Linked DNA regions of Arabidopsis thaliana. The protein of the gene in region 1 interacts with the protein of each later gene in a pairwise test. Each region holds a gene or a part of one and is shown in the gene's direction. Other genes may lie near its edges.

Region 1 (6,238 bases):
CAGTGACCCATCTTGCCACACAGTGTTAATGATTCCACCATTCGCAAGTGGAAGATTCAGAATTGCGTAGATGACCATCTCGTTGTTTTGGTAAGTGGCAGACAACTGAGAGACGTTGAAACTCAGCTCAGCTTCTAGGAGACTCGTTTGGTAGCTACTGATGGGTGACGTATAAGCCCTAACGGTGCCGTCTGATTGTGGATAAGCCACAATGGCTTGAGCTCCGACCATGCCAGTAGATGTGGGATTCACGGCCCATGCCACCCATTTCCCGGGGGTGAGCTTTGTGTGGCGATACGCGATTTGGAGATTGCCTGAAGAAGAATCGTAAGTGTAGTGGAGGAAGGAATCAAGAACAGGTAGGTCGTTGCAAGACTCAAAGAGACGGTTGGTGGAGAATTTGTAGTTGGAACATTTCTGAGCCAAGGCGGATTTGGTGATGATGAAAATGAAAAGAGAGAGACAAAGGAGAAGATTTGAGGATATGGCCATGGAAACAGAATCTCGAGTAATGATTAAAAGATGGATGAATGATAAGATTTAAGTATGAAGGGGAAGAGAGGAGAATGAGATTAAGTATGAATAGAAAGTGGAACAAGTAGGGTTTGGTTTGTTAGTTAATCTGTCTTAATACAGAATCTCTAATTCTCTTCACACGTGTCCTTTTTTCATAGTTTAATCTTTCTTTTAATCCTCTGCTTTTGTTCTTGTTCATCTATCAATTGCAATGTTTTACCTAAGAGTAAAAAATAGAAACATTATAAATGAAGCGTTCATTGTTTTCCCAAAAAGGTTTGACGTGTAATGTATTTCTTCCTTAAGAGTCTTTAACCCTCTCAAGCAAAAACCAAGAAATAAAAATATGAAGGGGTCATCTTCACGTTCAAAAACCAGTTCACACCAACTTTATTACGAGAACTCATTTCTCGTGTTTATTTTTTCTTTGTTTGTCATGAAAAATCTTTTTCATTGTATATAGGTTTTGTCATGACATTGCGCGTTAAGTTAGATTATAATCTTGGTACGCTTGGGAATTGGGATGATGATAAATTATTGAGCACACTAAAATATTAGGTTTCATTGGGTTTAGTGGTTCAATTGACGAAAGTAGACTAGCGAAGGGAGTAGTGGTTTTCGCGTAATAAAGGGCAAACACGTCTATGCCTGCAACTACTAACGTTGTGCATGTATGATGTACCCTAAGTAAACATCTACCACCTTATGAGTATGGACTGGAGCGGACCAGACCAACAAACTGTTTATGAGAGATTCCAATCCAAGGGAAGTGGTTGGGTTTAGCTATTTTTAGAGTTATGTTCTTCTATATATAGGCCGCGACCAACATTTCAACGGTTAAGACCATGTACATGAGTGATATTTTTAGAATATCATCAGTGTAAAAATTATTTTTTTATTAACCAAACAATTAGAATGAGTTTGATTAGTATCATTCCAGTGATTTTCTTGATATCAGTATCATCTACGTGACATCTCCTGATTGGTAGCATTTATTAAAAGTAAGAAAAAAAATATTTATCTATTAAACAAACATTATAAATAATACTAAAATTTTTTTAATGATACTTTGAGAATATCACCTATAAGCATGCTCTAACCAGGTGGATGTATAATAATGTCCTTTCTTGGTCAACGCTCAAATTACTACCTGCCACATGTCCCCCACTAGATTCTTTGGTGTAGCTGGGCTCAGTTTGAACTAGACTCTTTTATATGGGCTTAAGTGTTAATTATCAAAAAACAACCCAAAATGAGATATTTAGATATAATATGTTTTTGATGGAAAAAAAGGAAAGATATAATATGTTTTTTTGATGAATGAAAAGTATTACAATTATTCAAAAAATCACTAGTTTCCTGAAAAACAATACAAATTGCATAGTTTCAGAAGGATAATCTGATTTGGGTAGAGTTTGTTGATGTTAGAAATATAAATATTTTCTTTTATAAATAAAATAGGATGGAAAATCCATCATATTTGAAAGTTTTGTTGTGTCTAATAAATAACAGTAGAGTGTACATAATCGGTAACTTTTTTTTCCTTAACTAAAATTTTAAGTGAAACTAAAACAAAGGTGGTAAAAAAAAGTAGAGCCTATGGTAAAATAGGGTAAGAGGGTCCATAAGGGCCCAAGATGTTTTATTTTTGCTGAGCCCATTATTACCAATCCGAACCGAAATGGAAAAACTCCGGTCTCTTTCTTTCTCTCTCTCTCTGCCAGAGTTACTGCGTGTCTTTGATTTCCCAGAAGAAGGCGTTGAATCCTTTCGTTTTCCGATTCCATTTTTGGGATCTCTTGTTTCGTTTTCTTCTCTTTGGATCCATTCCATTCCCATGTTCCCCAATTTCTTTAATCGGTGTTGCTTCCACAAGGTAATTTTGTTTTCCTCTGCACTTCCCGAGAATAAAGAGAAGGTTTTTCTCAATTTTCCCCTTATGATTATCCCTGTAAATGCGAGTTTTTTGTCCTGTTTTGTCTAATGGGTCTTCATAATTCGTGATCATCAACGTTTTCTCTGTCTTGTGTGTGTATGTATGTGTGTGATCTTACATCTGACGGGAATGTAATGTGATGATCTCTCATGTAAAATTCTGTTTTTACTTGGTTTGATTGTTTCTATTACAATGCTCTGTTTTTGCTTTAAAGAGTTCTTACAATATCTCCTCCTTCTCTTTTGCGAAAATGGGTTCTTACTTGGGTTTAGTTTCTTAGGTGAAGTTTCGATTATTTTTTTGAATTGGTGTTTTATAAGTTTTGATGTCTCATCATCTTTTTCAGAAAGAAATGTGTGGCCTACTTTCATTTTCTAATGCCGTATATGAAGATTTTCATATTCAGGCAGATATTATAAACCTGCAGCAATCATTAACTCGATTCATCTTTAATGTGAGCCCTAAGGACAAGACTGAGAATTTTCTATCAGTGTTTAAGATTGCACTTTGTGTGATCAAGTGAATGAGTATTGTTGGTTGAATTGGGCCCGCGCTTGTCTTTTCTGTCTCAATTCTGTTTCTCCTTATGATAGAGAGAATATTTCTCTGCTTTCCTATTGGTGGCTTTCATGATTTGTGAATAGTCAGTATCTACCGACTTTAACTTAGATTCTTAGGGTGAGATTATAACTAAAGTTAGCTTTACTTGTTGTATATAGGCTTCATGAGCTTGTATAACAAGTTTCTCTAGGAGGTGTTAAAGAGCCAGATCAAGCTTTCAGAAGAGGTAACTTGTATTGCTGTCTTACTTTGGATCCAGAATGCGTTTATGTGCTGAATACTTTGCTTGTGATAGATTTTCTTAGGGTGGTTGAGAGCTGAAAGTTTTGATATTTAGTCAACTTTGTTCCACTGAACCTTCTAGGAAGCTACCTCAAGTAGACAGGTGATCTTAAAGATTCTCTTGTTTCTCTTAGATCTCAATCTTTACTGTTTCTCAAGTTTCCTATGCCAACTCTACTTATTCTTGTCTTCCCTCTTCCTCACTTTGGCTCTTTGTTTTGTCCTTAGCTTTGTTGACGGGCTTCAAGCCAGTGGTAAAGATATGCTTCTGTAGAAGGGTTAATCTTGAGCATTAAAGGACATGGCTTTCTACTCTGAAGACGACAAGAGCGAAGACTACCTCTTTAAGATTGTTCTAATCGGTGATTCTGCTGTCGGGAAATCAAATTTACTTGCCAGATTTGCGAGGGATGAGTTCTATCCCAATTCAAAGTCGACGATTGGAGTGGAGTTTCAGACACAGAAGATGGATATAAACGGGAAGGAGATCAAAGCACAGATATGGGACACAGCAGGTCAAGAACGTTTTAGAGCAGTCACTTCTGCATATTACCGAGGTGCAGTTGGAGCTCTTCTGGTTTACGATATCAGCAGACGGCAGACTTTTCACAGCATTGGTAGATGGCTCAACGAGCTACACAGTAAGAAACCTCTTATCTTTTCTTATCTGCTACTAAACAATCTCCCATTTGCTAATTGATTCAAGAATAATGAAAGTGAGGGGTGTCTTCATAAAACTGTTGCAGCACACTCTGATATGAATGTTGTGACGATCCTGGTGGGCAACAAGTCGGATCTGAAGGACTTGAGAGAAGTGTCAACAGCGGAAGGGAAGGCATTGGCTGAAGCACAAGGTCTTTTCTTCATGGAGACATCGGCTTTGGACTCATCAAACGTGGCAGCTGCATTTGAGACGGTTGTGAAGGAGATATACAACATACTGAGCAGGAAAGTGATGAGCTCACAGGAGCTAAACAAGCAAGACCCTGCTTCACTGAGCAATGGCAAGAAAGTTGTGATACCATCAGACGGGCAGGGCGAGTTCAAGAAAGGTGGATGTTGTTCTTCTTGATAGAAAACTGAAATTGTAGAGAGCTTAAAAAGGAAGACTATTGATCATCTGTTTGATTGTTTATGTTGTCCACGTTGCCATGAACGTTGAAATTTGAGATGGGCTTGTGTTGTGGTGTGGAAGTGTTTAGGTGTAGTAGCAATCTGTAAATTTTCTATTGCAGAAGCTTTTATGAGACTCACACTACTCTATAAAGTTTGCAACTCATGATAATGAATGATGATGATGATTAGTCTTCTGTTAGTGTCACCTGTTATACATCACTGCCAAGTCTATAGATCCTTTTACAAGAAAATGGTTTACTTGTAAATAAAATAGTTGTAATATGTAATGAATATTGTTATTTCTATGGAGCATTTGTCATCGGGAAGAGGATCAAATCGAGCTGTGGAATTAGAAGAAAGTTGTGGTGCAGAGATCACACGTGCAATTGCATGTGAGACAGATTGGCTCCACACATGATTGCATTTAACGCCGTAGTACGGATTCCACAAACTTATCTATCATCTATCATCTATCATCATCATTATCGTCATCATAATACATTTCTTTTCTTCAGATAATCAAACCGGACATATTCTTAACTATATTGCTTTCTAAACCGGTTTGCATTTGGTTATAGGTTGATTCGGTTGAATGGCCTCAATGATCTCCGCGAGTCCATTCAAGACCTGAAAATAGGAGGAAGACCATTGGATCTTAAGCATAGACAAGTAAAACTCATATGCTGTGTAACCATTTAGCTTCTCTTGTCTCTCTTTACCTTTTTAGTCTCATGGAGTGATATTTCCAACATTTCTATCCTCTGCAGGAACCAAAACACACACAAATCAGTCAAAAGATTCATGAAACTAAATTTCATATTATCCTAGATTTCACCTTCTGGGAATCCTTGACAGCAGTTTTCAGGGCAGCATACTTCTCCATTGTAATCATGACCTCGCCTAAACTTTCCTGCATTCCATTTATATATATCTGAATCAGCTTCAATATTGAATTCAATAAATCGATTTCATTTACACTATCTTTATGTACCTTTTGATTGGCTGGAGCATTTTCTGAGACTTTATCCATAGTCTCTGAATGAGCATCTTCGATTGTGGAAGGCTCCTATATCGAAGATAATATCCAATTTTACTGTGTATAGCTTGATAAAAGTTCAATAAATGGTAATGGCACAAACCTCGATCTTTTCCTTGATGCCTGGATCATTCCAAGGTCCTTCATCACTGAAAAGACAGCCTCCATGATCTGAACAGGTGCAATTTCCTCCAAGAAATGTTGGTAAGTTGCTGTTTTCAGAAATCAAACACAAATATTCCTGAGGTTCCTCATTTATGAAACAAATCTTTTCACTGAATTTAGTAGAGAAAACAAATCAGAAAAAGGTTTTAGACCTTGGTTCTATTGCTTCAAGTAGCTCTCCAAGGTAATTGGGTCCTAGCACCTACAACAACAAACATCATTTTAGGTAAAGAAATCTGTGACTAAACGAAAAGCGAGCACCGAGTGGCATATGCTTATTACTTGAACTTTGGCCAATGTCCGAGCATCAAGAAAGGTCTTGAGTGCAAGCCACAACATCCGGAATCCAGAACTGGCATTGACAACGAAGAGGCGATGCAAAGTCTAGAGCCAAACCAACCAGAATTACATCCATTCCTTGTTGATATGAAGCTGTTAATGAATCCGAAAAATCCAACCTACCTCAGGGTAGTAGTTGCTGTCTATCTTTTGAATTTCCATAAAGAGGGATCTCGCAGGTTTTGAGAAGTTTGACATTCCCTTTTCAAGAACAATGGATGAGGCAACAAACAATTTGTTAAATAATTTCATCTACAGTTTAAAAGGCCGAAAATATTACCACTCCA
Region 2 (6,942 bases), on another chromosome or scaffold:
CAAATGGTTAGCTCAGTGATAAAGACTTACCGTTTCATTTCCTTGATTATGTATCTTATAGGTTGAAAGTTGGATGGATAAACTGGAGGAAGCTGAGATGAAATTCAGGGTGGCTATCAAAACATCTGTGGCACTGATAGCACTAACGGTATTACAAGTCATCATTTGACTTTCTTTCAGGTGAAAGAAGCCTCTTGCATATTGTTCTTCCAGCTAATCTATCTTTGTTATTATGAAACTTTTAGGTGGGATATTTTTGGTACGAGTATATATACAAGATGGACAAGTTAACTTACAACAAATATCATCCTTACACCTCTTGGATTCCAATAACGTAGTCCACTTTACCTGCAAATCTCTATACAACCACTCTTCTAAGAACCAGTCCTTACTTGTGTACCTCGTTTTGCTTTTCTTTCAGTGTTTATATCTGTCTCCGGAACATCACCCAGTCTTTCCGCGGCTACAGTTTGACCCTTCTGGCGTAAGTAAAAAATAATTCAGTCAATAGATATGTTTATCCTCTTATAACGATTTTTTCAAGAAAAATTTGTTCATGAACTTTCAGGTGGCTTGGAAAGATAACACTGGAGACATATATCTCCCAGTTTCATATATGGCTCAGGTATGTCACACTTTTCTTGCCCAAGTTCTCAATTGTAGAGTAAGTGGGAAATTGATGGTGGAGCATGCTAATACAATAAGCTATTAAGATTTTTCCTGACCCATTGAACTATGAAATAATCTAATTCACCCACAGATCTGGAGTTCCTGATGGTCAACCCAAATTACTACTATCTCTTGTCCCGGATTACCCATTGTTGAACTTCATGCTCACTACTTCGATTTACGTCGCTGTAAGCAAACCCTGCTACAACAGATAGAAACAAGTTGAAAGCCAGACAGATACAAACAAACTGATTGGCTTTTTGTTGCTCTGTTTTCAGATCTCTTATAGGCTCTTTGAGCTTACCAACACTTTGAAAACAGCCTTCATACCAACCAAGGACGACAAACGCCTTGTCTACAACACGATCTCAGCACTCATAATCTGCACTTGTCTCTACTTTTTCTCATTTATTCTTATCACAATTCCCCAAAAACTGGTAAGTCAAAATTTTATCTTTTTGTGTGGGAGAAAGCTTTTTTTTCCCTGGTACTTGAGTTCATTGATATGTTAGTGCATACACAAAGCGAGGACGAATGTCATCCTCTCATATTCGATTGAACCATCTCACGTTTTATTATTTCACTGGAAACAAACAGGTGTGAAGCACTTCTGAACCGGACCAGAGTGGACTATTCGAATGAATTCATAGGAGTTGAACTACGCGATATGGTAGATATACGAAGATAGAAATCAGAGGTAGATGCATACAATGTTGCTGTAATGTCATCTTTCTGTATATTTATTTATGAATAAGGTGTTCTTTCTTGTTTATTTGTGTTTCTGTTCACGATGATGTTAAGACTTATTATTGTCTATTACAAGTTAAAGGAAATCCATATGAGTAATTGTATAGCTATAAAATCCAGATTAATCTTACATCAAAGTAAAATATGATGGACTTGCAAAAGCCATTACTTTAATGTAAGGAAACATTGATATACTTAGATAGAAAGTGTAGTCATAGCATGTGTGTCAAGCTTGTCCTCTATTGCTCGGTAGGCAGAGAAAGTGTCCGAGTCTTCCCATTTGGAGAAATTATACGCGGGCCCAAAGGAAAGCAAAAAATGAGGTACTGATATTAAAAACAATAACAGTACCTTATAGTCACCCCGGTATAGATTGTTAGACATGCTAAAGAGACAAGATAACCAACCGAGGAAGAGCGTGTACAAAGCATGTCCGATCTCCATCCTAAACTTATCCGATAGCTGAATCAGCCCTAACCCTCCGGTGAACAACGAGATGGTGAATAACGACATGGACAATTCAAACTCTTTGTTTGTCAATAGCTCATATATTAAGGGCAATGCCAACGCTAAATTTGCGGAAAATGTCGAAAACAAAACCTGAGGTACTCTCTCCAACTTTGTAGTAAACTCCTTGTAGCAAGCGGAAGGAGGAGCGGTGAAAAAAAGATATCTGAGTAGCGTCACTGCGTAGAATGTTGTGACACTGACCGCACCGTCCCTAAAGGACTGAGACGATGAATCTCCAGGTGGCCAGAGAAGATTGAGTGATTTGGAGAGGCCAAAAAGTGAGAGTAGAGTCATTATATACCATATTCCTCTGCAAACAAACACATCCATATCACTAATCTTCTTCTCCATCGTGTGTGTGTTTTTACTAGGACTATGGGGTTTCGGAGATTTAATAGTCGTCGTGAATTCGTTTTTCGATTTCTTTTATTTAGTTAGTTAAATCTGCTTTTATCCAGAAGAATGTGGTATATCTCTATTATTAGTTAAAAGTGGTTAGAAGATTTTCATAATCACAACAAACAAAAGAAATCTTCGCAATCTTTATCTAACACTTTTTTTTTTCAAGATATATAAAATTCTTTTATATTCAACAAAGAAAATAGTTCAAAAAATCACATTATAAGTGGACCACTGACCAGTAAAGTGAACGAAGAAAGTATAAACTCTATTTTCTTCAATTAAACCGTTTATATAAAAAAAAAAATCATATTTTAAGTTTCTAACATAAGAAAAACAGTAGACCCTATAGTCTATGCGTTGATTAAGAAGATGGGCCATGTTGGGCCGATTCACACTTACCTCTTTTATTCATTTACATCTTAGGCCCATTACGTTTGTATATGTAATGTAAGAAGAAACTTCTTCTTCTCTTGAACCTCTTCCTCGATTCTCCTCACTCATCTCAACATCTTCCCAGATTATTCAACGCTCGTGTATCGATCAAGCTACTGAAGTCACGTTGGTTCGACTTTTGATACACAAATCTGTTCGAGCCACCATGATCGACATCCCTCCTTACCCGCCGCTTGATCCTTCCAACTACGATCTCATTGTCGTCGGCACCGGAGTCTCTGAGTCCGTCTTAGCCGCCGCTGCTTCCTCCTCCGGTAGTTCTGTTCTCCACCTCGACCCTAACCCCTTCTACGGCTCTCACTTCGCCTCTCTTTCCCTTCCCGATCTCACTTCTTTCCTTCACTCAAACTCCGTTTCTCCTCCTCCGTCGCCGTCATCTCCTCCTCTCCCTCCGTCAAACAACCATGATTTTATCTCCGTGGATCTCGTTAACCGATCCTTGTATTCCTCCGTGGAGATTTCGAGCTTCGAATCGGAGATCCTCGAAGAACACTCTAGAAGATTCAACGTTGACTTGGCTGGTCCTAGGGTTGTCTTCTGTGCCGATGAATCAATTAATCTCATGCTGAAATCAGGAGCTAACAACTACGTTGAGTTCAAGAGCATCGATGCCAGCTTCGTTGGGGATTCGAGCGGTGAGCTACGAAATGTGCCGGATTCGAGAGCTGCTATATTCAAGGACAAGAGCTTGACTCTGTTGGAGAAGAATCAGCTCATGAAATTCTTCAAGCTTGTTCAAAGTCACTTGGCTTCTTCTACCGAAAAAGATGATTCAACAACAGTCAAGATATCGGAGGAAGATATGGAGAGTCCATTTGTGGACTTCTTGTCAAAGATGCGTTTACCACCCAAAATCAAATCGTATAACCTCCTTCTCTGTTAATGGCAGCTCTTTGGACATTTGTCTCTGCTTAATGCTTCTTAGAATTTTGTCTCTGAAATGTTGATAGGTAAGGCTTTGTTTCCTCTTCTTCTGTGTAGGATCATCTTGTATGCCATTGCGATGCTAGATTATGATCAAGACAATACGGAAACTTGTAGACATTTACTCAAGACCAAAGAGGGGATAGATCGATTGGCTCTATACATCACATCTATGGGCAGGTCATTCATCATTTTCTCATTCCTGGCTCTTACACATTTGTGATCATCTTTCTTATTGGTTTACATTATCATTGGTTATATTGAGTATAATTTAGCTTTTGATTCTCTACCTTAGGTTTTCTAACGCACTTGGGGCGTTGATATACCCAATTTATGGACAAGGAGAACTTCCACAAGCCTTTTGTCGTCGGGCTGCTGTCAAAGGATGTATCTATGTACGTTTGGAACAATTTTCTGCATTGTGTACTGTGTTGCTGTTGTGGTATTTGTTACTTATTTAGTCTTTCATTGTTTTCACAGGTTCTCCGGATGCCTATTACTGCTCTGCTTTTAGACAAGGCAAGTTAGCTGACAGTTGTAGCATAAGATAAGTTTAGTTGACGGAAAGGATTCTTACTTGATTATTTTAAACTCTTTTTGCAGGAAACTGGGGGTTACAAAGGGGTTAGATTAGCTTCTGGTCAAGAGATATTCAGCCAAAAGTTGATTCTGGATCCATGTGTTACTGTTGGATTAGAGTCTCTGTCGTCATTGACAGATCAGCAAAATGAAACTCTCAGTGTTCTTGTCCCAAAGTCGATGATCAATAAGGAGAAAATTGCAAGAGGAGTATGCGTCATTAGAGGTTCTGTGAAAGCTAATGTATCAAACGCTCTTGTCGTTTATCCACCTAAATGTAAGCTAATTTTTGAAGACCCACTAGTTAGTTGTTTCACTTACATGTATATCGTCTTTTGCGTTTTGAAGGTTCTAACATTAATAGTTTTTTCCTCTTAGCTTTGTTTCCAGAACAGCTAACTGCAATTCGGGTTCTGCAGCTTGGTAGTGGTTTAGCGGTTTGTCCTGCTGACATGTAAGTTGTGGTTTAGCCTAAGATGATCTTTTCCCATTTTAGTTCTGTTTCTTTCCATTTGCTTAGCTTTAACTGTTCTCTAAGCCATATATATTTGCTGCTGCAGGCATGTTTTATATCTTTCAACTTTGTGCGACAATGATGACCAAGGGATAAAGGCGCTATTATCAGCCATGAGTAATCTCATCAGTTTGCCTGTTCCCGAGAATCGTCAAAGCGATTCCGTTGTTGAGAATGATACTTCTGAGACAAAACCTATTCTACTCTGGAGAGCACTGTACGTGCAAGAGCTAGTCAAGGTGGAAAATGTGATTGGGAATTTACCTTTTCATTTCGACGTTGGTAATGTCATTTTCACTAAATAAAAGTTTGATTTGGATCAGGGTGAATTTGGAGGTACGATCAGTTCCATGCCTAGTCCAGATGGAAACTTGAACTACAATGAGATAGTGGAATCAGCCGTGAAGGTTAGTAGAAGCTCCTTACAGCAGTTATCTCATTAAGTTATGGTTTTGATAATGTTATCATATTGGATTTGGTAGCTATATGAAAAGCTCATGGGGAGTGAAGAATTATTTAAAGAAGAGACCTCACCGGCGGAGAACACAACGGAGGAGGAAAACGATGGTGGTGTTGAAATAGAAGATTGATTGATGAATGAAACCATTGGTTTTAAAGACTTAGAATACCCATTTATTTATTTGATTGTAACATATAGTTACCCCGTTATTAGAGGGGAAGCAGGAAGATTGGCAGAGGGAGGGTGAGCCATTTTCTTTACTTATTCACTAGAGAGCAACTATGATTAGGGAAGAAATAAAGGATTGAGAAGAAGTGATTAATCCACGACCGCTTGTCTAACCATTGAAACTCCACAAACTTTAAATCAACGACTAAAAAGAAATAATGAATTTGTATAGAAATTAATTTATTCAGACATCTTTTACCGATCACAACCATAATCGTTCTATGTTTCTCTTTGAATAAACACTTCCGATTTCGTATATTTCGACTCCAATTCTGATTTTCATGGCCAAGTCCAGAAACTTAAAAAATCAAGGAAGATATCATTATCGACTAGGAAATTTGACTTTGAAGTCAAGATTAAGAATTTGAATGCTTTTTTCGAGATCGTTGGGTTAATGTTATCATATGTAATGTGGTGCCAAGCTCTCATTATGAGGCCCAATTATGAGGGTTTGGTTATTCTCTGGAGAGAATCGTCAATCGTTTATCCAATCCCAAAGGTTGACACTTGACAGAATTTAAAGCCCATTGGGTCTGAATTAGCGTCGGAATTGGACCCGAAATAATTCTATCAATTAAAGATTAAAACAGAACTACACGCGTGTAGGAATTTAAAATACAAAACCACTCGCATCACAGGCGCGTTTCGGCGCGTGAGACTATAATCCGTGGACTATAACCCTCCTTTTCGGGGATTTTTGCATAAATTTAAAATTGAAAAGACTTGCAGCGCGTGGGACGAGATTTCATTTGTTGTATAACTTATTGTTCACGACTAGTTTTTTTTTTTTTTTTTTTGCCTAAAGGTCTTTCTATTGACTTTTTATCATAAAATGGAACATTACAAAATAGGTCAAGCCCAACTAGATGATTACAAAATTTTAAAACTGAAACTAAAAAGGCCCAACCCCAATAAAGGGATACCAAACCCAACTTGAAGAGAGGCATGAAAGCTAAAAGGATTAGACCAAAAGCCCAAACCACTATAGTTTATTTACATGAGAATATAACAAGACGAAAAGAACTATTACCGTGTGTTATCTTCTGCTCAGATTATGGTCCGAAATTATTGTTATCGATTCTTGATTCAGATTAAAAATGAGGTAAAACTGTAAAGAATTTCTGAATTGTGATTTTGAGGTTTGCACTTTAATAGAAAACGAAGCTAGTACTCATCTCCTTTTTTTTTTGCTGAAATATGAAAGTTTTTGAGCTATAGGCTACAAAATAACCAAGTTTTTTCTTTCTAACGCATATGACATTACTACTTCACAAATGGAAAAACAATGTTGAAATTTCTGCAAACATGAATGACCACATAAACTGATCTCTGCTCAATTCATTAGAAGGGATCTCAAAAACCGTAAAATTTCAGAAAGTTGTATTTCATATCTAGTTATTTACTACGACAGACAAAAAAAGAATCAAAATTGGGAACTAACGGTTGCATAGCACTC
Region 3 (8,854 bases), on another chromosome or scaffold:
AAAGTGAGTCCACAAAACAATGCAATTTACCAATAGAGGGGTCAAGACCACGGGTTTTGAGTTCACGGTGTTCTTGGCAAAGAGCACAACATTCACAAAAGAAGTGAGTGACGCAATCCGAAGTTGGAGACTCCGGTAACCCGAATTTGCTTCGGATCTTGGTCCGGTAAGTGCATGAGAACAAGCAAGGTAAGCCGACCACACAACATATTAGCCCGTAAAATACCCCACATCTCCCACAACCTACGTACATTATATATACGACGTTACGTGAATTCACACACACACACATTGTTTAGATATGACATATGTGAATGTATGGCTTACCGGTCCTTCCTTCGTCGGAAATGTCCGCGATCCGTCCGAAAGTGACGCATGGGCAGAAACATGTGAGGCAAGCTTATCCAGCACAAACCAAAAGGAACAAATCATTATACAATCCTGACAATAGATCTATATATGTATAAAGATTAAAGGACAACTTGATTAAATTTATATAGAATTTCTACCAGTTTCACTGTCTTCCATGCAGCTGAAAAGACCAGAAGTCCATTGCTTTTCCATTGTAAAGTAGCTTCAACCAAATCTTGCGTCAGGTTTTAACCAGTTTTGTGTTGATCGATCTTTTGATAAGCGAGATCGTAAATCAATTAATTAGGGTTTTGAAGATAGATTTTTGTTGTTAGATGCTTTAAGAATGGAGGGTGGGTGGGTATATATATGGTTGATGGTGGATCGCTTCGAGAGATCTACAAATGTTTAATTTTTAGTACATTGCACTTTGGGAAAAATCATAAAAGTTGTAAAAAAGAGTAAAAGACTTTTAAAACTAGTACGTTGCACTTTTTGTTAAAAGGAGGAAGGTTTTTTGAAAATTGATTTTTGTTTAAGGAAGGTGAGAGATTTTACTGATTGTGAGAGATTTTAAGCTACTTAAAAGTAATATGTAAACGCGTTTTTGGGATTGGTTTAATCCACACATATATACAAGATACAAAGAATTTAATTTAATGACTAAGAAAATTAAAGAAATTATGAATAAAAAAGAAATATACATCCTAAAAATGCGAAAGTAAAATAAAACAGGCTATGCTAAATTTTAAAATATTAAATTCAACATTTTTCTATTCATAAAATTTCTATTAAAATTATTTGTAGATAAGAGATAATATGTTCAAACATTATTCCTCTATATAAGGAATCAAACTTGCAAACTTTAAAATAAAATTTTGAAAAATATATCTAATGTAATATTCTGGTTTTATTAGTAAAGTAATATTACTTAATACTAACAAATTACAAAGAAAAGAACTGAAGGAAAAAAAATAAACTTTTAAAATTTTCTAACCAGTGAAATAAATTAGAATTTAAACTTAAAATTTTATTAATTAATAATAGTCATAACAAAATTTGACAAATGTTTTCAACTTAGATGTGCAATAAACATGAATTTATTCTACTAAATCAATACTGGGCCTATGAATGGCGCAAGGAATAGCCCATTGGTTATTCTATATCTTTTGGACCTTACGTTTTTGAAGCCTGTTTAGGATCACACTCATAACAAAAAAATAAATAAGAATTACGCTTCTACCACCATTAAACTCTAATGTATCTGAACTCAGAAGATCCGATCGGAGTAGTAAAAATTCAACAAAACAACAATAAGAAAACTCATTAATTCATTCGTCGGATTCGAAGAAGAAATCACTTCCCAGAAACTTTCTTCGTATCGAAGTATTGCTTGTGTTCTTCGGAGAAACGAGATCGGGATCCGAATACGAGTACAATGGAGGTTTCGCAAGATGGATCGGAAAGAGATAAAACTCCTCCTCCTTCCTCTTCTTCTTCTTCTTCCTCTCCCATTCCTGTCGTCACCAATTTCTGGAAAGGTTTGTTTCAGATTATGTCTAGCTATCTATTCGTTTTCTTCGACTCGTAGTGAAGCTGAGGATGAGCTTGTTTTTGTAGTTAGGAGAAATTCGTTTGTTAGGATTCCGTTTAAGTAGTAAGACTTAATGAGATTCTCACTGAATGTTCGGGGAGATTGCATTGGTAGTTTAATGTGATCGGATTGAGAAATTTCAGTTTATTGCTTTAAAAGTTATCAACACATTTTTCAGTACTGATAACTAGTTTCATCTCGATTCTCCGGCTTTTGTATTTGTTATACGAAACCAGTTTCAATTAGAGAACTGGTTCTGTGGTTGCTCGCTGTTTTGATAGACATCATCATAGAAGAAAGCTCTTCCCGAATGATCCATTTACTTGTCTTTAAACTACTTGTTGCAGAATTTGATTTGGAGAAGGAGAAAAGCCTGCTTGACGAGCAAGGGCTTAGAATAGCTGAAAATCAAGAAAACAGCCAAAAGAATCGCCGAAAGCTTGCAGAGAGCACACGAGGTACTTTTTTGTTTCACCTTTTATATTGCTTAACACTTCAACATTTTCTCCTGAGGGACCTCGATAGGTTCCAGCGAAGAGATGTTAACATATTCTTTGGTTTATCTTGGTAACAACAGACTTCAAGAAAGCTTCGCCTGAGAACAAACTTAGTATGTTTAATTCCCTCCTCAAGGGATATCAAGAAGAAGTAGATAATATTACCAAGAGGGCCAAGTTTGGGGAGAATGCTTTCCTAAATATCTATCAGAAACTCTATGAAGCACCTGATCCGTTTCCTGCTCTTGCTTCTATTGCTGTAATTATCCACTTATCTAATGTTAACATAATAGACACCTAAAGTCCTTTAGCCTGAGAACCAACTAATTGCTGTATTCCAGGAGCAAGATCGTAAATTATCTGAAGTGGAATCTGAAAATCGAAAGATGAAAGTTGAACTTGAGGAGTTTAGGACAGAAGCGACTCATCTTAAAAATCAGCAGGCCACAATAAGAAGGCTTGAAGAACGGAACCGCCAGCTTGAGCAACAGGTCAGCTTGCTTTTAACCTCTTCTTCTAATTGATATAGGGATAAAACTAAATGAATGTAAAGCACAGCTTCCTTGATTATTTTTCAGTCTATTCTAGGAGGTCAAATGCAAATTTATACACTGAGCCATAAGCATGATTTATATAGAGATGCTATTTTGTGATCTTGTAACGAATAACTGTCGAAGATTAGCAGTGATATCGAGTTGTTATATTTGGATTCAGATGGAAGAAAAAATCAAAGAAGTTGTTGAGATCAAGCAACGAAATCTGGCTGAGGAAAACCAGAAAACGATGGAGCTTTTAAAGGATAGGTAAAAAAAAAATTCTCTTCTGCATGCTTTGGGTGTTTAGAAAGTTTTCGAGGAAGCACCAACCTTTCCTTGTTCACTGTTTAACAGGGAGCAAGCTTTGCAAGATCAGTTAAGGCAAGCAAAAGACAGCGTCTCCACTATGCAAAAATTGCATGAGTTAGCACAGAACCAACTTTTTGAACTCCGTGCTCAATCAGGTGGTGCATTGAGCCTTAATATGGTGACTCATATTGTGCTTTCATAATTGGAATGGTCTCCCTTACATATTGTTCCTTCTTGTCTTGTTAATATATGTCACCTTTGTCTAAACCATCAGACGAAGAGACCGCGGGGAAGCAATCTGAAGTTAGTCTATTGATGGATGAAGTGGAGCGTGCTCAGACCCGACTCCTTACTCTTGAGAGGGAAAAGGTCTTTCATATCATGCTCTCTTTGTTTGAATTAAGGGAATGCCCTAAGATAAACCACCGTTTTTAGCTCTCTAATTTTGTTTATTGGTTTGTAACAGGGACATCTGCGTTCTCAGCTGCAAACAGCTAATGAAGATACTGATAACAAGAAAAGGTGAGGTGACACTTATGCGTCCATATAACAAGGAGTCAAATAACTTTTATCTAAGTTTTTGCTTTGTTTTAATTTTTTTGTTATGCTCTTTCTCTACAGTGATAATATTGATTCGAATAGTATGCTGGAGAACTCGTTAACTGCAAAAGAGAAGATTATTTCGGAGCTTAATATGGAGATTCACAATGTTGAGACAGCTTTAGCTAATGAGCGAGAAAGTCATGTTGCCGAGATAAAGAAATTGAATTCTTTGCTCAATAAAAAGGTGAAATTTGTGCTATGTTTTGTCTTTTATGCTGAGAAATTATATTTTGTTCTGAAAATTAGTTTCCGGTCCCTTCAATGTCTAATATTAGCTTACCGTCATTTGGTATTAAACCAGGATACTATCATTGAAGAGATGAAGAAAGAGCTTCAAGAAAGACCATCAGCAAAATTAGTTGATGATTTGCGCAAAAAAGTGAAAATTCTGCAGGTATTCATCATTTCAAGTGTTTTTTGGTGCTCACTTAGTTTAACTTCTTATTAACTTCTTGCCACAGATCCATACCTTGTTCTTTCTGGTAACGGTACGATCGTATGTAGTAATATCATTGTTGCATATTAGGCTGTAGGTTACAATTCAATTGAGGCTGAAGACTGGGATGCTGCTACCACTGGTGAAGAGATGAGCAAAATGGAGTCGCTTCTTCTTGATAAAAACAGAAAAATGGAACATGAGGTCACTCAGTTAAAGGTACATGACCTCTACGGAATGAACCACCACCATCTGTAATTCTGTCTTTTCGTTACTCTTTCCCTTTTCAGTGAACATACACAAGTAAAGTCACTGGTCGATTCACACCACTTCTTTTCCCAGGTTCAACTTTCTGAGAAAGCTTCCTTGCTTGAGAAGGCTGAAGCCAAGGGAGAAGAACTGACAGCTAAGGTTAATGAACAACAAAGACTGATACAAAAGTTGGAGGATGATATTTTGAAGGTACGTAAGAGTGTGTAGTTACCATTTTAAGTTAAAAGGTATCTGTGCTACTGCTACTAAGGAGGAGAAACTCGATCAAAGTCTTTGATTATACTGAAACCTTATTTACTTGTTACACAGGGTTACGGTTCAAAAGAGCGAAAAGGTGCTCTATTTGATGAATGGGAGTTCTCAGAAGCAGGTGTGGCTGAGCAGTCTGAGGTACTTCTCTCTGGCCCTGTGCATATATGAGTCAATGAGTCGTGTAATTTATCATGCAATACTCTTAAAGCAGGAAAATTTTCCCAAAAGTAAAAGAAAGGATGGAATCGTTCAGAACTAAGAGTTAGATAAACAGTAACCTATCGCTTTAAGTTCTCTACTAGATAATCTTAACGGTCTAACATGTATGCTCACTCTGCCTTCTATTTATGGCGTGAATTAAAATATTGCTAGGGAATCGTGGTACGTATATATTTTACCATGATCTATTTTTTTTTCAAAAGCAAAATACCTCTGAACTTCTTGTCAAACCATTAAAAAGTTTTCATACAACTAAGGGTATTTCCATGATATGGTATATTATATACCTCACAATTAGACTTATCACTAACTACTGCTCTTTATCATTTTGTGTTTCCTTTTATTAGCCTATGGATCAGAAACATGTTCCATCAGAGCAAGATCAAAGCTCAATGCTAAAAGTTATCTGCAGCCAAAGAGATCGGTTCCGAGCACGATTACGGGAAACAGAAGAGGTACAGTTAGTTGTACATATAAATGATCCTCTTCCCTCTGTATTCTCTATCTCCAGTTAAATTTATTTGAACTGAATTTTATGTGTTCTCTTAACATTGCAGGAAATAAGGCGATTAAAAGAGAAGATAGGTTTTCTCACAGACGAATTGGAGAAGACCAAAGCAGACAACGTCAAACTCTATGGGAAAATCCGTTATGTCCAAGACTATAACCATGATAAAGTTGTTTCCCGAGGATCGAAAAAGGTATTTGTTTTCTGCGATACATTTCCCTTGAACCTTTTCTGTCTCGTGATCGGGTTTTTTCCATGGTTGATATCGTTTTCCAATCTCAGTATGTGGAAGATCTTGAAAGTGGATTCAGCTCGGATGTCGAATCAAAATACAAGAAAATTTACGAAGATGACATCAACCCTTTTGCAGCATTCTCGAAAAAGGTAAAAAATAAAACATTCTGCTATCATCGACACAAGCCTTATATTTCTTTCCTAAACATTAACCCTTTCCTATTTATATGTGTTTGATAGGAAAGAGAGCAACGGATCAAAGATTTGGGAATCAGAGATCGGATTACGCTAAGCAGTGGGCGGTTCCTTCTAGGAAACAAGTAATCCTCTTGCTCTCAAGTTTATTCACATTCATACTCGATCACAGAATTTTCGGTTATTTTCAATTTCATGATTGGATCTTTCAGATACGCAAGGACATTTGCTTTCTTCTACACAATAGGATTGCACGTCCTTGTCTTCACTTGTCTCTACCGTATGTCTGCTTACAGTTATCTCAGGTAAAACAAACCCACCAATTTTTGTTTTTGTTACAAGTCCATTATGTGATTGATTTTATTTAATTTCTTCTTCTTTATTTATGGTTTAGCCATGGAGCAGAGGAGACTCTAATGACAGAAGCAACCACAAACCTTCCTCACGGTCTTTAAGCTCTCACCCTAGGGACTTATTCGTTTTTGGTCGTTATGTTCTTTCTTGTCCTTGTAGTGTTCCGTGGGCAATTCTAAAACGGTTGAATATTTGTACAGAGGGATCCAAATCACTCGATACATATATAAAGCCACAGAAAAAACTTCCTTCAGAAAACTGCAGAAATCTAAATAAGATCTGGTTTACTTTTCTTCGAAACATAAATAACCATGAAAAATGCACCAAAACGATAACAAATCCGACAGGAATAATTGTTGCTATCCAAATACAAAATAAAATAAAATGAAAGTCGTTGCTTGATATCTGTTAGGCAACAACACCTACGTGGCTGGGCCTTTGAATGCTTGCTTGACAATCGATGGGATAGTGAGGTAGGAGCTGTTATCGGTAAGGCTGGAGCCAATAGGCCTTATTTTCCAGAACGGGCCATGATCAAGAGTTTTCGACCCAAACGTCCCGAAGAAGGGATGGTTAGGAAACATCCTGATATATGTCTGAGAGAAGGCGGCAAGTGCTTCCGCAAGGGGAGGGAGGTTGCGAACTGTGCTTTTGAGCTGGTAACCGAACTCATAGGTTGCACGCTTATCAGCAATACAATTTGGTGATTCTGGAAGATGTTCCGGGGTAGAGAGAACGACCATGACTTGGTTAGCAACCAACCCATGTGGAGAGCAGTCAGCAAGGGTGCCGGATCCTTCAAAGGATGCAGCAACATCATCCGCAACTCCTTTTACTTGATTGAACCAAGCCATGCTGTGTTTCATGTGGAGAAAGGAAGAGATCTTTTCGAGGTTATCAGCGGCAGAAGTGACCTGAAAGTTAAAATTGCTGTAGCAATCAGCAAACGCCTCATTCAGGCTTTGATCGGCTTCACAAGGGTACTGTAAGCCAGGTAAAACGAGTGACCATTTTTCAGCCTCTGTCCTGCTTGCATGGAGACCAAAGGTCTTGTGACCGAAGTTAGAGACGGTATTTTGGGTAACGGGAATGTGCCTGCCTCTCTTTGGATAGACGGGAGGTATTGGGTAAAAAGGCGGTTAAGTCTTCCAAGAGGGCGAAGATGCCAGGGACGTTAGGCAAGAAGTGGCTTTCAAGAAGATCTCGCATGAACGCGTCACGTCGAGCCGGGCCTGGTTGGGCAGGGATGCGAGGATACACTTTCCCATTATGATTATGAGGAAACTCCGGCTGCGAAGAGCAAAGAGTCTTGAAGAGTCCGAGGAGAGGGCCGGGAACAGCGAGAGTTTCCAAGGGATGGTTGTCCAAGAACCGGTTTAGGAACCGGTGTTGAACATCAGTAAGATCATTCACATCGTTTCCAGCTCTAAGACACTGGATCCAAAAGAGAACACCACAGTAGAGGCGGAGGATGTAGGGGTGATAGTTGGGATTGGCCCGTTTGAAATCAAAATTATCGCAAAGTGTAATGTTCATAGCATGGACCATCATGTGGCAGGAAGGGTAGTAGTGTGAGATACCTTGCGTTGGGTACACGATTTGGCTTCGGGTGAAACTAGAAAGGAAACTAAGACAAGTCTTCTTCTCAAGCTTCGTCTTGTGAGTTGAAGATTCAGAGGCCATAGTGATTGATATCTTTATTAACAAGAAACAGATCGTAAGCAGAGGTTTTGATGAAGAAAATACGTTTTGCTTGATGTGTAATGTTTTGACTTTTATGAATGAAGGTTTGGTAGACACAGTGTCGCTTCGGGACACAACATATGTTTTAAATTTTTTAGTAAATTGCACTTATCAGAAAAGAAAAGAAAGAAAAGTTCTTCACCGCTTCAACTTCTCATTAAAACGAGGAAATCTTTAAAACTCTACAACTTACTATTGTGTGATGATTTTTTATTCGGGACTTGCAATTTTTTGCAAGTTGTATATAATAGCAAAAAATTGGAATACAATTTCAAGTTTAGACAATAATATAATTTCCTTTGAACGCGTTTTGGTTCCAAATTCCAACCTTCTTTTTGTTTGTGTCACATTCATTCCATTAGTTAAATTGATGTTTAAATTTCTCATTCATTCCATTAGTAAAATCTATGTTTACGTGACACAAGTGATCAAAATCGGAAGATGATATTCTTGTTTTTGTATTTCCTGCCACATATAAATTTGGTAATTAACTAGAGTGGAACTTCTTTAACTATGGCGTTCTAAGAACAAAACATTCCTCATTTTCCAAAACCGTCACATAATGAGAGGAATCAAGTTGAGTTAGCTTTACGCCAATACAATGTTTGGACTTTAGAAGAGAGAGGCTGTGGAAAAAAAGAGAATGTTATCCGGTGAAAACATACTTTATATAAATGGGAAAATCCCACAAAGATTCTTCTAATTCTTTTTCTAATGGCACGCATGTGATGTACAAACGAATGCTTATCT

The links.
Region 2: the proteins of RABA5a (region 1) and REP interact in a two-hybrid assay, tested with the Arabidopsis thaliana proteins (one large-scale study listed by BioGRID).
Region 3: the proteins of RABA5a (region 1) and CASP interact in a protein complementation assay, tested with the Arabidopsis thaliana proteins (one large-scale study listed by BioGRID).

What each region holds. Positions count from the first base shown.
Region 1 is NC_003076.8:19,275,725-19,281,962, reverse strand, and holds RABA5a (RAB GTPase homolog A5A), read left to right. Parts: upstream 1-2,215; 5' UTR 2,216-2,392; intron 2,393-3,171; 5' UTR 3,172-3,239; intron 3,240-3,308; 5' UTR 3,309-3,398; intron 3,399-3,523; 5' UTR 3,524-3,596; coding exon 3,597-3,936; intron 3,937-4,041; coding exon 4,042-4,367; 3' UTR 4,368-4,733; downstream 4,734-6,238. Other genes in the region: AT5G47530 (Auxin-responsive family protein), read right to left, coding at 1-492; AT5G47510 (Sec14p-like phosphatidylinositol transfer family protein), read right to left, coding at 4,964-5,038, 5,131-5,172, 5,247-5,321, 5,403-5,477, 5,551-5,659, 5,765-5,814, 5,895-5,996, 6,075-6,152 and 1 more. UniProt on the Arabidopsis thaliana protein: Intracellular vesicle trafficking and protein transport.
Region 2 is NC_003074.8:2,033,647-2,040,588, reverse strand, and holds REP (Rab escort protein), read left to right. Parts: upstream 1-2,797; 5' UTR 2,798-2,926; coding exon 2,927-3,642; intron 3,643-3,762; coding exon 3,763-3,885; intron 3,886-4,000; coding exon 4,001-4,100; intron 4,101-4,185; coding exon 4,186-4,224; intron 4,225-4,308; coding exon 4,309-4,561; intron 4,562-4,662; coding exon 4,663-4,738; intron 4,739-4,844; coding exon 4,845-5,037; intron 5,038-5,121; coding exon 5,122-5,205; intron 5,206-5,280; coding exon 5,281-5,388; 3' UTR 5,389-5,676; downstream 5,677-6,942. Other genes in the region: RWA2 (O-acetyltransferase family protein), read left to right, coding at 62-148, 246-334, 422-484, 569-625, 761-857, 948-1,181; AT3G06545 (uncharacterized protein), read right to left, coding at 1,612-1,688, 1,779-2,277. UniProt on the Arabidopsis thaliana protein: Substrate-binding subunit of the Rab geranylgeranyltransferase (GGTase) complex. Binds unprenylated Rab proteins and presents the substrate peptide to the catalytic component composed of the alpha subunit RGTA and the beta subunit RGTB.
Region 3 is NC_003074.8:6,335,135-6,343,988, forward strand, and holds CASP (CCAAT-displacement protein alternatively spliced product), read left to right. Parts: upstream 1-1,557; 5' UTR 1,558-1,789; coding exon 1,790-1,892; intron 1,893-2,292; coding exon 2,293-2,403; intron 2,404-2,522; coding exon 2,523-2,701; intron 2,702-2,783; coding exon 2,784-2,933; intron 2,934-3,156; coding exon 3,157-3,245; intron 3,246-3,332; coding exon 3,333-3,442; intron 3,443-3,561; coding exon 3,562-3,656; intron 3,657-3,753; coding exon 3,754-3,809; intron 3,810-3,908; coding exon 3,909-4,074; intron 4,075-4,191; coding exon 4,192-4,284; intron 4,285-4,416; coding exon 4,417-4,545; intron 4,546-4,668; coding exon 4,669-4,788; intron 4,789-4,908; coding exon 4,909-4,989; intron 4,990-5,417; coding exon 5,418-5,525; intron 5,526-5,627; coding exon 5,628-5,771; intron 5,772-5,860; coding exon 5,861-5,962; intron 5,963-6,052; coding exon 6,053-6,132; intron 6,133-6,219; coding exon 6,220-6,312; intron 6,313-6,401; coding exon 6,402-6,462; 3' UTR 6,463-6,654; and 1 more. Other genes in the region: AT3G18470 (PLAC8 family protein), read right to left, coding at 31-243, 328-399, 510-564; ILR2 (iaa-leucine resistant 2), read right to left, coding at 6,784-7,331, 7,432-8,044. UniProt on the Arabidopsis thaliana protein: May be involved in intra-Golgi transport.